Linked DNA regions of Saccharomyces cerevisiae S288C. The gene in region 2 interacts genetically with the main gene of each other region. Each region holds a gene or a part of one and is shown on either strand. Other genes may lie near its edges.

Region 1 (2,560 bases), on a different chromosome or scaffold from region 2:
CCATCATTAAATAGCTTCGACAAAACTTCTGAGCTATCTGAAAAATTTGCAGTAGCCCTAGTCAAGAAATCTTTTAAAGCTACACTAGTGACTTTATTCCTCTTTTCCAACCATGCGCTCTCATTCTGAGATATAGACGTAGCCTCTCTTACCAGATTTATGTCATCGGGACACGACACGGTGCCAGGAACATAACTATCTGTGGGCGACCACGCATTAGCGGCCAGTAGAAACTGAGAAATTGCGAATATGTAACTGATAATAATTTTTGAACATAATGGACGTATCATTACTTATATTATTATGTGTGTAATTTCCTTGCTTTTAGTCCTCTTAAAACGGCGTATTCCAAGCTGAAAAGTGAAATATTAGAACTCGTAAAACCACGTATAACTTATATAAAAGTGGATGAAAAGCGTAACAATAACATAGTAGTGTGGTAATAATGGTGATAGAATCCCTGCAAGTCTGGATCTTGCAAAAGAAGTGCCAAATTGAGTAATTCCATAGCCAAGCCATCTTAAAAGCAGGGAAAAAGAAAGAAGAGAAAAAGGCTCATTGCACAGAAGAACCAGTACAACATTCGCGGAACCGGCAAGATATTTTCGTGGAGGACTAAAGCGAAACGAAAACGGATGAAGTTGCGGTATTTCCTGATTTGGAAGTTCTATGGGGCGTCCACCGGTTTCAAAAAAAAAGGAAAAATGATTTGCGTTTTAGTCATTGAGAACGAAAGGAGGAATTGGATTACGCGGGCAGTAATATGGTGCGCGATGCTGGCGTATTAACGCGAGATGAAGGAGGCTGAAGTCAGGAAAACTCATGTGAGTGTGACGTTACCGATGACATTATGGACACTTTTAAATGGTCATGTGACGCGGTATCACAGGAGGCAAACAACTGTACTCAGCAATTTCCCGATCACCTACTAACTGCGCTCTCTTCGCCTGGTATGCTCTTTTTGCAACGCACAAAGCTTCGTATAGTATTCATTATACGATTATTAGGAGTGCTGATGACTATCGTCTGTATTCTCTGAAGTGTTTGCCGCTGTTGTGTCTTGCCTTGCAACAGCGTATGTTTACCGTTTTATATATTGCGTGGCGCGCACCCGGTGATAAGAAACATCCATGTGATAAAACTCCGCACGTTGCTTGATTAATTAACCTCGGAGGTGTTACCCGCAATCAATATGTCTGCCAGCCGCCCGCCCGCCCCGGAGAAAAGAGCTTAGGACAAGAATCACTGTCTCTTACCTTGGAATCAGGGCAGGTCCGCACAAGCGGTAGTAAGCACATACCTAAAATAGCAGTATTCTTCTTTCTTTAGAGAACGTTAGACTCAATTGAAAAGGTTTACTGAATGCATCCATGCTAGATTAGCACACAGTAACTTTACGCCCGTAACTTACTACTCGTAGAACTGGCCGCTGGTGTTCCGTAACCCGCCGCGCTCGCTCCGTGCACGAAAACAACAAAACAAAAAAAACAACAAATAAAGCATACAGCTCTATTTAACAGCTGAACTATTATCCAGTGTAATAGAGTCACAACCCCCAACTAAAAAACACTGCGGACTCTATTATACTTCAGTCGGAAAAAATATCGTTAAATTCAATTTCGCACTATAGCCGCACGTAAAAATAACTTAACATAATGTCAGGAAAAGCTCATGGAGGTAAAGGTAAATCCGGCGCTAAAGACAGTGGTTCATTGAGATCTCAATCTTCTTCAGCAAGGGCTGGCTTGCAGTTTCCTGTCGGTAGGATTAAGCGTTACCTGAAAAGGCACGCTACCGGCCGAACAAGAGTAGGATCCAAAGCTGCCATTTATTTGACTGCTGTGTTGGAATATTTGACTGCTGAAGTGCTGGAGTTGGCTGGTAATGCAGCCAAGGATCTTAAAGTCAAGAGGATTACCCCAAGACATCTGCAATTGGCCATTAGAGGTGACGATGAGTTAGATTCTTTGATCAGGGCTACAATTGCTTCAGGTGGTGTTTTGCCTCATATAAATAAAGCATTATTATTGAAAGTGGAAAAAAAGGGAAGTAAGAAATAAGAAGAATAGTTTTTCTTTCCCATTTCCCGTAATTCTCCCTGCTCCTGTATCCTCATTCTATCCATATTAACGTCTGTATCATTATTATAAGTTGAAATTTGTCTCTCCGTACCCGAGTTATATACATACATATATGTAATCTATCTCTCCTTTCACGTCTAATCTCTTATGTTTTTACTATAATATATAGCATGAAAATATACTCTCACACAATATTCCCAACGATAGCGCAGTAGCCGTTATGTACGCAGAAATTTGGTCAGGGCTTTCTTTTTGTTGAACTTTGCATACCCGGAAAAATGGAAATTAAGGACACCTACAAAAGTACACTGTAGAAATCAAATCAAAGAAAAGGTTTAATAGACGATAAATTTCCATACGTGCCGACAGGACAAAAAAAAAACCCCCCTACCATTTCTAATAACAGCTTCACCACTAGTTATACTGTCGACTTTCTACCGATTTGTTGGTTCCTTTTTATAACCAGAAAATCATCTATC
Region 2 (4,999 bases):
AGTTAAGAAAAAATGAGCTACACCACAAGCACTGGTCGAATCCAATGGAAGTACCACTTCCAGAAGCTCCCCACATGAAAATCTATTGTATATACGGGGTGAACAACCCAACTGAAAGGGCATATGTATATAAGGAAGAGGATGACTCCTCTGCTCTGAATTTGACCATCGACTACGAAAGCAAGCAACCTGTATTCCTCACCGAGGGGGACGGAACCGTTCCGCTCGTGGCGCATTCAATGTGTCACAAATGGGCCCAGGGTGCTTCACCGTACAACCCTGCCGGAATTAACGTTACTATTGTGGAAATGAAACACCAGCCAGATCGATTTGATATACGTGGTGGAGCAAAAAGCGCCGAACACGTAGACATCCTCGGCAGCGCGGAGTTGAACGATTACATCTTGAAAATTGCAAGCGGTAATGGCGATCTCGTCGAGCCACGCCAATTGTCTAATTTGAGCCAGTGGGTTTCTCAGATGCCCTTCCCAATGTAAATGACCGACATTGACTCACTATCCATCCGTGTATTATTTCAAAGAGCGAAAAGAAGGCGCGTCGCGTCGACGCGCCTTTTTAGGCTAGAAAATAAACAGAAAACAAAAACAAAAACAAAAAAAGGCGAAAAAACAAACGAAAAAACAAACGACAGTAGATAGAGGAGAAGGTTTTTGACAGGTTTGTGTAATTGGTTATTTGCTTTTATAGATTATATATACACAAACTTAAAACACTGTTTTCTAAGTAGGCTGCGGAGAGGGCCAATTGCAGCAGCGACGTACGCATAGAGGAAAAACAACCGTTCATGTCCATTATGAAGCAGAGGCTACCACTGGGGGAGTTTTCCAGCTCGAAGATCAACAAACTGGCAATTGCCAATATTGCAGACGCTAGCGAGCCTAGAAACCATGGAGAAAACAACGTCGGGACTGTGTGTCTTCCCTCTATCAAGAGTTTGATGGTTAGTCCTGAAGTATACGAAAACACGAAGAGTCTTCCTGTTCCCCTAATGAGGAGCAGTGGCGGAGGTATGGCTTGTGCCAGTAAGTCCTCATGCCAGGATGGTATTAGTACGAAAACAACGTCTAGAGATTACTCTGAGCTTTCCAAGAAGTTGCAAATTCGTTTACAGTTCGCCTATTATAAATACAAGACTAAGCAAACAGACAAAAATTTCACAGACTTGAAATCAAAGCATAGCATTACGAGGCCTTCCAAAGTCGCGACTCACAGTAAATCAGAACCTTTAACTAGGAGAAGAAAATTAGTACTATCTCAGGGTCATTATAAAACCCCTGCTAGGTCTAAGATCAAAACTCCATCTTCGATTTGCTCTCACGATAATACATCTTCCTTTACATCTTTCCGCGGTGTCAGCGAAAGCTCGAGCACTACCGCAGATATGAACGTCGCAGATACCACCACACCAATACGCAACAACATAAACACAAAGCATTCAAACAGTCATAATCGCACATTGTATCAGAGACAAGAAACACCTACAAGCATCAAAGCCGCTAAGTCTTTAATTCATCTCTTTACAAGTAACCAATAATCCCACCCCCAATATTTCTATCTTTCATTTTCATTCTCCTTCATTGTGTATATAATAATATTATTGTCTTCGTATATCTTCCACATTACCTTTTCACTTCCGCTTTAGTTCTGTACGTATAATTAGATAGAATATCATATAAAACCTGATTTTATTAGTATCGATTGCAATTCTACTGCGGCCATTAACTGTAACCGAATTGAAGAAAATAAAAGAAAAAAAGAGAACATGCATAAATGGGAAAAAGAAGGCGAAGCATACCAGCATCTACCAGAGAGACACGAGCACTGAAAGTCGCCATAAAATGAATCTACAGAACAACGTTTTAAATCAGATACACCAGATTCTGCTGCCTACGAATCCTACTCTCGATAAACCTAATGCTGAGGCTACAAAGGAAGAATTTTCGTCTGCAGAAAATAGAGATGAAAAAGACTATCTTACCAACCAGCAGCCGAAAAATCTGAGTACTCCCTCCACCAGTTCCAACGGTGAATTTATACCGCATATTTTTTATTCGCTGCACCAAATAAGGAAGGATCCAAACAATCTCTCAAATCAATTGGAAACCTTAACAGGTTCGATTAGACATCGTTTGAAACTTTGTAAATCTTTGATATCGGAAAACGAAGATACCAAGGATTTATTAAGTAAAAGTCCATCAGAATGGCAGGATATCATCCATCAACGTGAACAAGAACTGCAAATTAAGAGAGACGTCTTGGATGATCTTTATCGCAAGTTACAACGATAAAATCTATGCTATCTATCTTTAGTCTATATATATATATATATATACATACGCATACCACATCTTCAAACGTGCATATAGAATGGAGCCTGCGTTTCTAGCAATACACATACACCTGTCAAAAAACCTTCACCGCCTCCCCCTATTTGTTTTATCGTCAATTAAATCTTTAAAGATTTGTGGAACCATGTCTATCAACCATTCTTCCTTAGGGATAACTAGACAGTCCCTGATAAATTCCTTCGACGTTAGCATCAATTGTTGATAAAGCACATATTTGCTTGGTCTCTGCGCCTTTTCCTTATGATTAACGAAAAGTATACTGGTAGGATGAACACTAACGTTCAGCCCACCTGATGACCTACCCATGGTTTGATAGCCGGTGGGGCCTAATTGTACAATATTCATCGGAAACCCGCTGATGAAGCATCGAGTTATTCTAGCATTTATGTAGCCCGCTATATTGCCTATCTTCATCCTGGCTTGGTCGTTCTTTTCAACTAATCCAACCTTTTCACTGCACCTGAATAATTGGTTTCTAATATTTCTTACCCTCAACATCGTTTTGAATTGAATTTTGTGGTCTTGACACCAACTTCTGGAAAATTTAGAGTTTCTCCATTGGTTGAAGATTTCCAAATACAATATGTGATCACTTTCCACTTCGCTTAACACACTTGCCGCAGCATCTCTTTTTTGACCAATAAATAATGAAGGTGTTTCATGTAGCATCGAAACTATGGTCAAACACTCTTCTAGTACACCTTGACATTGTTCGTGCGTAGCAGCTGTATAAAGCACTTTTGCAAATTCAGGTTCACAAGGAAACTCGCACATCATTTTACCTAACCGAGTGATTGTCCCTTTGCTATTTAAGGCACCTAAAATGTATAAATTTTCCAAAGACTTCCGTAATGTGGGGATACTGGGCTTATCCATCAGGGGAAACTTTATTAGGTCAGTAACGCCAAGCGATAATAATAATAACACCGTATTAGAAAGATTTGTTCTTGTGATCTCAGGCTTAGGCATAAGTTCCAACTCGTGCAAATATGACCATTTGGTAAAAATTCTAAAACATTTTCCCGGCCCAACACGACCAGCCCTACCGGCACGCTGATCAACTGAAGCTCTTGAGCATGGAACTGTTAAAAGTTGGGTCATTCCAGTGGAGGGTACGTACGAATTTTCCTTAACAAATCCAGGATCAATGACATATCTAATACCATCAATGGTCAATGAAGTTTCCGCAATATTAGTTGCCAAAACAACTTTCCTACAATTTTCCGGAGTCGGCTGGAAAATTTTCAATTGCTGCTCTTGGGGTAAATTTGCGTATATAGGAGTTATAATCATTTGTTTTGTTCTAGAACCTAATTTAGACATGATCTCCTCCAGTTTGGTTTTTGTTCTTTCAATTTCTTCTTGCCCCGTTAAAAACACCAATATATCCCCCGGTAAACTTTGCGTAGTATGAATTTGAAAAATAGTTGTTATAGCGGCATGTATATAGTTTGCCTCCGGCTGTAATGTGTAGTGGATATCTACAGGATATCTTCTCCCAGGAACGTTGAAAATGGGACAATTATCAAAAAACTCTGAAAATTTTTTTGCGTTCATTGTTGCTGATGATATAAGCAATTTTAAAGTGGGCCTCTGCGGCAAAATATCTTTCAGCAAACCTATCAGGATATCTGTGGCTAGAGTACGTTCATGAGCTTCATCAATCATAATACAAGAATATTTGCTTAATTTGGAATCTGTAAGAAATTCTCTTAGTAACATACCATCCGTCATATACTTTAGAACCGTTTTATTTGGGGTTGTTTTGTCTTCAAAACGGATCTGATAACCCACTTCCTTCCCAAGCACAACATTCATTTCATCTGCTACTCTTGCAGCAACAGAAGTGGCCGCCACACGACGTGGTTGTGTTATGGCAATCTGTAACTTTCCCTGATCAGTGAATCCATCTTCTACCAAATATTGGGGTAACTGTGTGGTTTTACCAGAACCGGTTTCACCCATTATAATCAAAACTTGATTTTTTTTGATCTCTTGTAGTAGCTCATCCTTGTATTGATGTACAGGCAAAAGTTTTCTTGCCTCTTGTATAGTCAGTATACGCTTTTCCTCAGTTTCTAAAGCTTGTGCTAGACGTGCCTCATATTGAAGTTTCTCTTCAGGTAGTAAATCGTCCTCCTCATTAGTATAATCAATCATTGCATCTGTGTCGAACACATAATCGTACTTGTCAGAGCCTTCCAATGTTATATCATCAGGGTGATCGCTTTGCCCCGCCATAGCATTTCGCAATTGTTGTTCTTCCCACATGCGTTGTCTGTTTATTTTGTCAATTTCTTTTGCATTCTTTATTTTATGAGTAACTTCTACGTTAAATTTAGAATTAGAAGAGGCGTACTTAGTTTCATTCTCGGAGTCACCTAGTAGACCCTTCTTTGTAGTAAGTTCATTATTTGACGTTATTTTTTCATCATACTTTGATGACTTTTTTTGTGATCCAAGTTGTTCTCCTTTTAAATTGTTCTTTTCTGGACCTTGGTTCGTATTAGAAAAAACTTTATTGGGGTCATAGCGTGATCGTTTTAGCTGCAAGGCAGAGTTCTTATCCTTGGCCTCTTTGTCTTCTTCCTCACCCAAGGAAGAAGGCTCTATTCTTACTGCATTGTCAT
Region 3 (6,093 bases), on a different chromosome or scaffold from region 2:
ACTACTACCAGTTCAAAATGTTAGAGAAAAATAGAAAAGCAGAAAAAATAAATAAAAGAACCATATTTATTTGTTCATTCACTTTCGAGTATAAAATTAAATCTTGTTTTTCTTGTTTTCACTTAAGTACACATACAAATTAAATTGTAGAAATAAAGCGTTCTAAAATGGCTGGAAAGAAAATTGCTGGTGTTTTGGGTGCTACTGGTTCCGTTGGTCAACGTTTCATTCTGTTGTTGGCAAATCACCCTCATTTCGAACTGAAAGTTCTTGGTGCCTCTTCTAGATCAGCTGGCAAGAAATACGTTGACGCTGTGAACTGGAAGCAAACCGATTTGCTACCGGAATCTGCTACCGATATTATTGTTTCCGAATGTAAATCTGAATTCTTTAAAGAGTGTGACATCGTCTTTTCCGGATTGGATGCTGACTATGCTGGCGCTATCGAAAAGGAATTCATGGAAGCTGGTATCGCCATTGTTTCCAATGCCAAGAATTATAGAAGAGAACAAGATGTGCCATTGATTGTTCCTGTTGTCAATCCTGAGCATTTGGATATTGTAGCTCAAAAGCTTGACACCGCCAAGGCTCAAGGTAAGCCAAGACCAGGGTTCATTATCTGTATTTCCAATTGTTCCACTGCAGGTTTGGTTGCACCATTGAAGCCTTTGATTGAAAAATTCGGTCCTATTGATGCTTTGACCACTACTACTTTGCAAGCAATCTCAGGTGCTGGTTTCTCCCCAGGTGTACCAGGTATTGATATTCTAGACAATATTATTCCATACATTGGTGGTGAAGAAGACAAGATGGAATGGGAGACCAAGAAAATCTTGGCTCCATTAGCAGAAGACAAGACACACGTCAAACTATTGACTCCAGAAGAAATCAAAGTCTCTGCTCAATGTAACAGAGTCGCTGTTTCCGATGGGCACACCGAATGTATCTCTTTGAGGTTCAAGAACAGACCTGCTCCATCCGTCGAGCAAGTCAAGACATGCCTAAAAGAATACGTCTGCGATGCCTACAAATTAGGCTGTCATTCTGCTCCAAAGCAAACTATTCATGTTTTGGAACAACCAGACAGACCTCAACCAAGGTTGGACAGGAACAGAGACAGCGGTTACGGTGTTTCCGTTGGTAGAATCAGAGAAGACCCATTGTTAGATTTCAAAATGGTTGTCCTTTCCCACAACACCATTATTGGTGCCGCTGGTTCTGGTGTCTTGATTGCCGAAATCTTACTAGCAAGAAACTTGATTTAAGGAAAAATTGCAAAGTTATGTCTTCATCTTACTTTTTTTTCGAACGAACAAAAAATACAAAACAAGTAAATAAGTATATGTGTATGAATATACGTATAATAATTTGAAACGTAGATCTTTATTATTAGTTTCTTGAGTTTCGAGAATTCGTGATTCAATGTTCATTATTTTTTCTTTTCTTTTCTTTTCAATAGTATAATACCAAGCCTTTATTATTTTTCTTCCACTTCAAGAAAAGGTAATTCTCTCGCTGACCCAAGAAAAAAGCTAAACAGAGAGCGTAGTGATGCATACAAACAACTCATTTACATGGGAAAAAAAAGGAGAGAGGAAAGCAGCAGACATATCTCAAAGCTGGGATACACTCACAATAGCACTGTTGGTACTCATTTCAGGTAATACTCTTGGAAGGTATCCCTTAAATGAACACATCATTTGGCTCAGTAGTGCCTTCCACTAATTTCAATTTTTTCAAAGGGCATGGAAATAATGATAACACTAGTGCCAATAGTACTGTTAACAACAGCAATTTCTTTTTAAATAGCAATGAAACGAAACCTTCGAAAAATGTCTTCATGGTGCACTCTACCTCTCAAAAGAAGTCGCAGCAACCGTTACAAAATCTCTCACACTCACCTTCCTACACGGAAAATAAACCAGATAAAAAGAAAAAATATATGATAAACGATGCCAAGACCATTCAACTTGTAGGTCCACTGATTTCCTCTCCTGATAATTTGGGATTTCAGAAGAGATCGCACAAAGCAAGAGAATTACCAAGGTTTTTGATTAATCAAGAACCTCAATTGGAGAAAAGAGCTTTTGTACAAGATCCCTGGGACAAGGCTAATCAAGAAAAAATGATCTCATTGGAAGAATCCATAGATGATCTCAATGAATTGTATGAAACACTAAAAAAAATGAGAAATACTGAGCGATCGATAATGGAAGAAAAAGGGCTAGTGGATAAAGCTGACTCAGCAAAGGATCTTTACGATGCTATAGTATTTCAAGGTACCTGTTTAGATATGTGTCCCACATTCGAGAGATCAAGAAGAAACGTTGAATATACTGTGTATTCATATGAAAAAAATCAACCAAATGATAAAAAAGCTTCTCGAACTAAAGCATTGAAGGTCTTCGCGAGGCCAGCAGCAGCAGCAGCTCCTCCTTTACCTTCTGATGTTAGGCCACCCCATATTTTAGTCAAGACATTGGACTATATTGTAGATAACTTATTAACAACATTGCCTGAAAGCGAAGGATTCTTATGGGATAGGATGAGATCCATAAGGCAGGACTTTACATATCAGAACTATTCAGGACCTGAGGCGGTAGATTGTAATGAGCGTATTGTTAGGATACATCTTCTGATCTTGCATATCATGGTGAAATCAAATGTGGAATTTTCGCTTCAACAAGAACTAGAACAATTGCATAAATCCCTTATCACGTTATCAGAAATATACGATGACGTTCGTTCCAGCGGCGGAACATGCCCAAATGAGGCTGAATTTCGAGCTTATGCTCTCCTGAGTAAAATAAGAGACCCTCAATACGATGAGAATATCCAAAGATTACCAAAACATATTTTCCAAGATAAATTAGTTCAAATGGCTTTATGTTTCAGAAGGGTTATATCTAACTCAGCTTATACTGAACGCGGGTTTGTTAAAACTGAGAATTGTTTAAACTTCTACGCAAGGTTTTTCCAGTTAATGCAATCACCCAGCTTGCCATTATTAATGGGATTTTTTTTGCAAATGCATCTGACGGATATTAGATTTTATGCGCTAAGAGCTTTATCACATACTTTAAACAAAAAGCATAAACCAATACCATTTATTTATTTGGAAAATATGTTACTCTTTAATAATCGGCAAGAAATAATTGAATTTTGTAATTATTACTCAATTGAAATCATAAATGGGGATGCAGCCGATTTGAAAACATTGCAACATTATTCTCACAAATTGTCAGAAACACAACCTTTAAAAAAAACATACCTTACCTGCTTAGAAAGGAGATTACAGAAAACTACTTACAAGGGTTTAATTAATGGCGGTGAAGATAATTTGGCTTCTTCGGTTTATGTGAAGGACCCAAAAAAGGATAGAATACCTTCTATCGCAGACCAATCTTTTTTAATGGAAAATTTTCAAAACAACTATAACGAAAAGTTGAACCAAAACTCATCCGTTAAACCACAGATCAATACCTCTCCAAAAAGAGTTGCAACGCGGCCCAACCACTTTCCTTTTTCACAGGAATCTAAGCAATTACCTCAAATATCTCAATCTCATACTTTATCAACAAATCCTTTATTAACGCCACAGGTTCATGGAGACCTATCGGAACAGAAACAACAACAAATTAAAACCGTCACAGACGGAGGCTCCCCATTTGTTTTTGATCAATCAGCACAGAATTCTACGGTGGAAGCTTCCAAGGCTCATATGATATCCACGACCAGCAATGGTGCATATGATGAGAAGTTGAGTTCAGAGCAAGAAGAAATGAGGAAAAAAGAAGAACAACGAATAGAAGAAGAGAAAACTCAATTGAAAAAGAAGCAAGAAAATGCGGACAAACAAGTAATCACTGAACAAATTGCAAATGACTTAGTAAAAGAAGTGGTAAACAGTAGCGTGATTAGTATTGTTAAGCGTGAATTTTCAGAGGCTAATTATAGGAAGGACTTCATTGACACAATGACCCGTGAACTTTATGACGCATTTCTTCATGAAAGGTTGTATCTGATATATATGGATTCTCGTGCTGAATTGAAAAGGAATTCCACTCTAAAAAAAAAGTTCTTTGAGAAATGGCAAGCATCTTATTCTCAAGCAAAGAAGAACCGTATATTAGAAGAAAAAAAAAGGGAAGAAATTAAACTCGTAAGCCACCAATTAGGAGTACCAGGTTTTAAAAAATCTACATGTTTGTTTAGAACCCCGTATAAGGGTAACGTAAATTCATCATTTATGCTATCATCTTCAGATAAGAATCTAATATTTTCACCTGTAAATGACGAGTTTAATAAGTTTGCGACTCATTTAACCAAGATTTCAAAACTTTGGCGGCCGTTAGAGATGCAATCAATCTATTATGATAACCTTACGAAAAAGTTCCCCTCCAATTCTCTTACTCCGGCAAATTTATTCATTTATGCGAAAGATTGGACATCACTCTCAAACCGTTGGATCTTAAGTAAGTTCAATCTGCAAACAGCACAGGATTCAAAAAAGTTCAGCAATAATATTATCTCTAGCAGAATAATTTGTATTGATGATGAATATGAACCATCTGATTTTAGTGATTTGCAATTATTGATATTTAATACAGGTGTTACGAATCCAGATATATTCGATTTGGAGATGAAACTGAAAGATGATGGTGAAGAACTGATAAAGCTAATCACTGGTATTTCTCTAAATACAAATATATGCTTTTCCCTTTTGATTATTTATTGGGAATCCGCAGAAAATACTTTATCGGAAAGTACCATTAAACACTTACTAAAATTAAACCGAATATCTAAAAACTATAGTAGTGTTATTGAACGCATTGACTTAATGAATCTCACCGAAGAATCCCCTCATAAGTGTTTAGAGGACAAATTATCTGAAATATCACATTCTTATGTGTACAAGTTGACAGAAAGGGGAAAATATGATAAAACACTTCGTCAGAAAAGGTCATTGGCCGGCATTCACTCACGTAGCACTCAACTACAAACTACAAAGGACATTGATCAAAAGATGAAGAAAATGCTGGAAAAAGAGAAAAACAAGTACCAACAACAAATAGGCGAAAGGAACACCTATGCGCATCTAGAATCGCATATAGATGCATCACCAAGAAGCAAGAAAAGGAAATTGCCAATACTCCTGTCAACTTCTCATTCGAGCCAATTTAAAACTCCTCTAGCTTCTAGATTAAACACCTCTGGTTCGTCTACTTCACCACCTTTACCATCTCATTTGGCGATGAAATTCAGGAAAAACTCGAGAGTTACTAGTTTACATACCGTATTACCCGTTAGCACACCAAGCCATAGTAATAACATACCAGCTGCAAGTTTTAGCGGGAATAACACCACCGATATACAGTCCCAACAATTAATCGAAAACCAGAAGAGTACATCTGTATATTTGAATAACGTTTCTGAAAGGATTCTGGGAAATCAAGAAATATGTCAAACACCAATTAATCCTGTTACTCCTGTGCTAGATGGGGCCGATCAAGGTAAGGAGGACATTCCTGATAGTATATTAGAGCTGAAGATCTTGATCGATTCTGTCAAGAAGAAAGTAAATAATGATTAAAGCATTTGTAATATATAAACAAAAGAAATGTGCATTTTTTCTATAGCTTTAGGAAAAGTATTTGATAATCACCCATTTCTTATTACTGTCGGCGTGCCATCCTTTTCTCTAAAGCTCGGCGGAAGAAAAATTCAATAATTGTGCAAAAAGTGAAGCCAGGGTTGCAAATACAGAGTTATATCAAAAGACCTACAGAGTATACATACACGTTCTCAGGGAAAAGTCTTCTGATATATTAACTTTACACATGCATTGCCTATCATAATCATATACTGTTGAAGACTAATAGAAGCATCTCTAGGGGAAAAAAGGAAACAGGCGTGTGATAAGAGGCCAAAAAGTTATAAACTGCTTAAAAATAGGGAAGTTCCTTGAGGAATATGAGTTCTGTCAACCAAATATATGACCTATTTCCCAATAAGCATAATATCCAATTTACAGATTCTCATTCACAGGAGCATGATACTTCGTCCAGCCTTGCTAAGAATGATACAGACGGA

The links. A genetic interaction does not mean that the proteins touch.
Region 1: mutations in CSE2 (region 2) and HTZ1 together harm fitness more than expected from each alone (negative genetic interaction), as found in Saccharomyces cerevisiae (5 studies listed by BioGRID, with this or other methods).
Region 3: mutations in CSE2 (region 2) and SAC3 together harm fitness more than expected from each alone (negative genetic interaction), as found in Saccharomyces cerevisiae (4 studies listed by BioGRID).

The regions. Positions count from the first base shown.
Region 1 is NC_001147.6:303,079-305,638, reverse strand, and holds HTZ1 (histone H2AZ), read left to right. Parts: upstream 1-1,655; coding exon 1,656-2,060; downstream 2,061-2,560. Other genes in the region: PLB3 (lysophospholipase), read right to left, coding at 1-290. UniProt on the Saccharomyces cerevisiae protein: Variant histone H2A which can replace H2A in some nucleosomes. Nucleosomes wrap and compact DNA into chromatin, limiting DNA accessibility to the cellular machineries which require DNA as a template.
Region 2 is NC_001146.8:641,885-646,883, forward strand, and holds CSE2 (Cse2p), read left to right. Parts: upstream 1-1,859; coding exon 1,860-2,309; downstream 2,310-4,999. Other genes in the region: LRO1 (phospholipid:diacylglycerol acyltransferase), read left to right, coding at 1-497; NRM1 (Nrm1p), read left to right, coding at 806-1,555; DEAH-box RNA-dependent ATPase PRP2, read right to left, coding at 2,436-4,999. UniProt on the Saccharomyces cerevisiae protein: Component of the Mediator complex, a coactivator involved in the regulated transcription of nearly all RNA polymerase II-dependent genes.
Region 3 is NC_001136.10:770,190-776,282, forward strand, and holds SAC3 (Sac3p), read left to right. Parts: upstream 1-1,687; coding exon 1,688-5,593; downstream 5,594-6,093. Other genes in the region: YDR157W (uncharacterized protein), read left to right, coding at 1-143; HOM2 (aspartate-semialdehyde dehydrogenase), read left to right, coding at 168-1,265; SSY1 (Ssy1p), read left to right, coding at 5,974-6,093.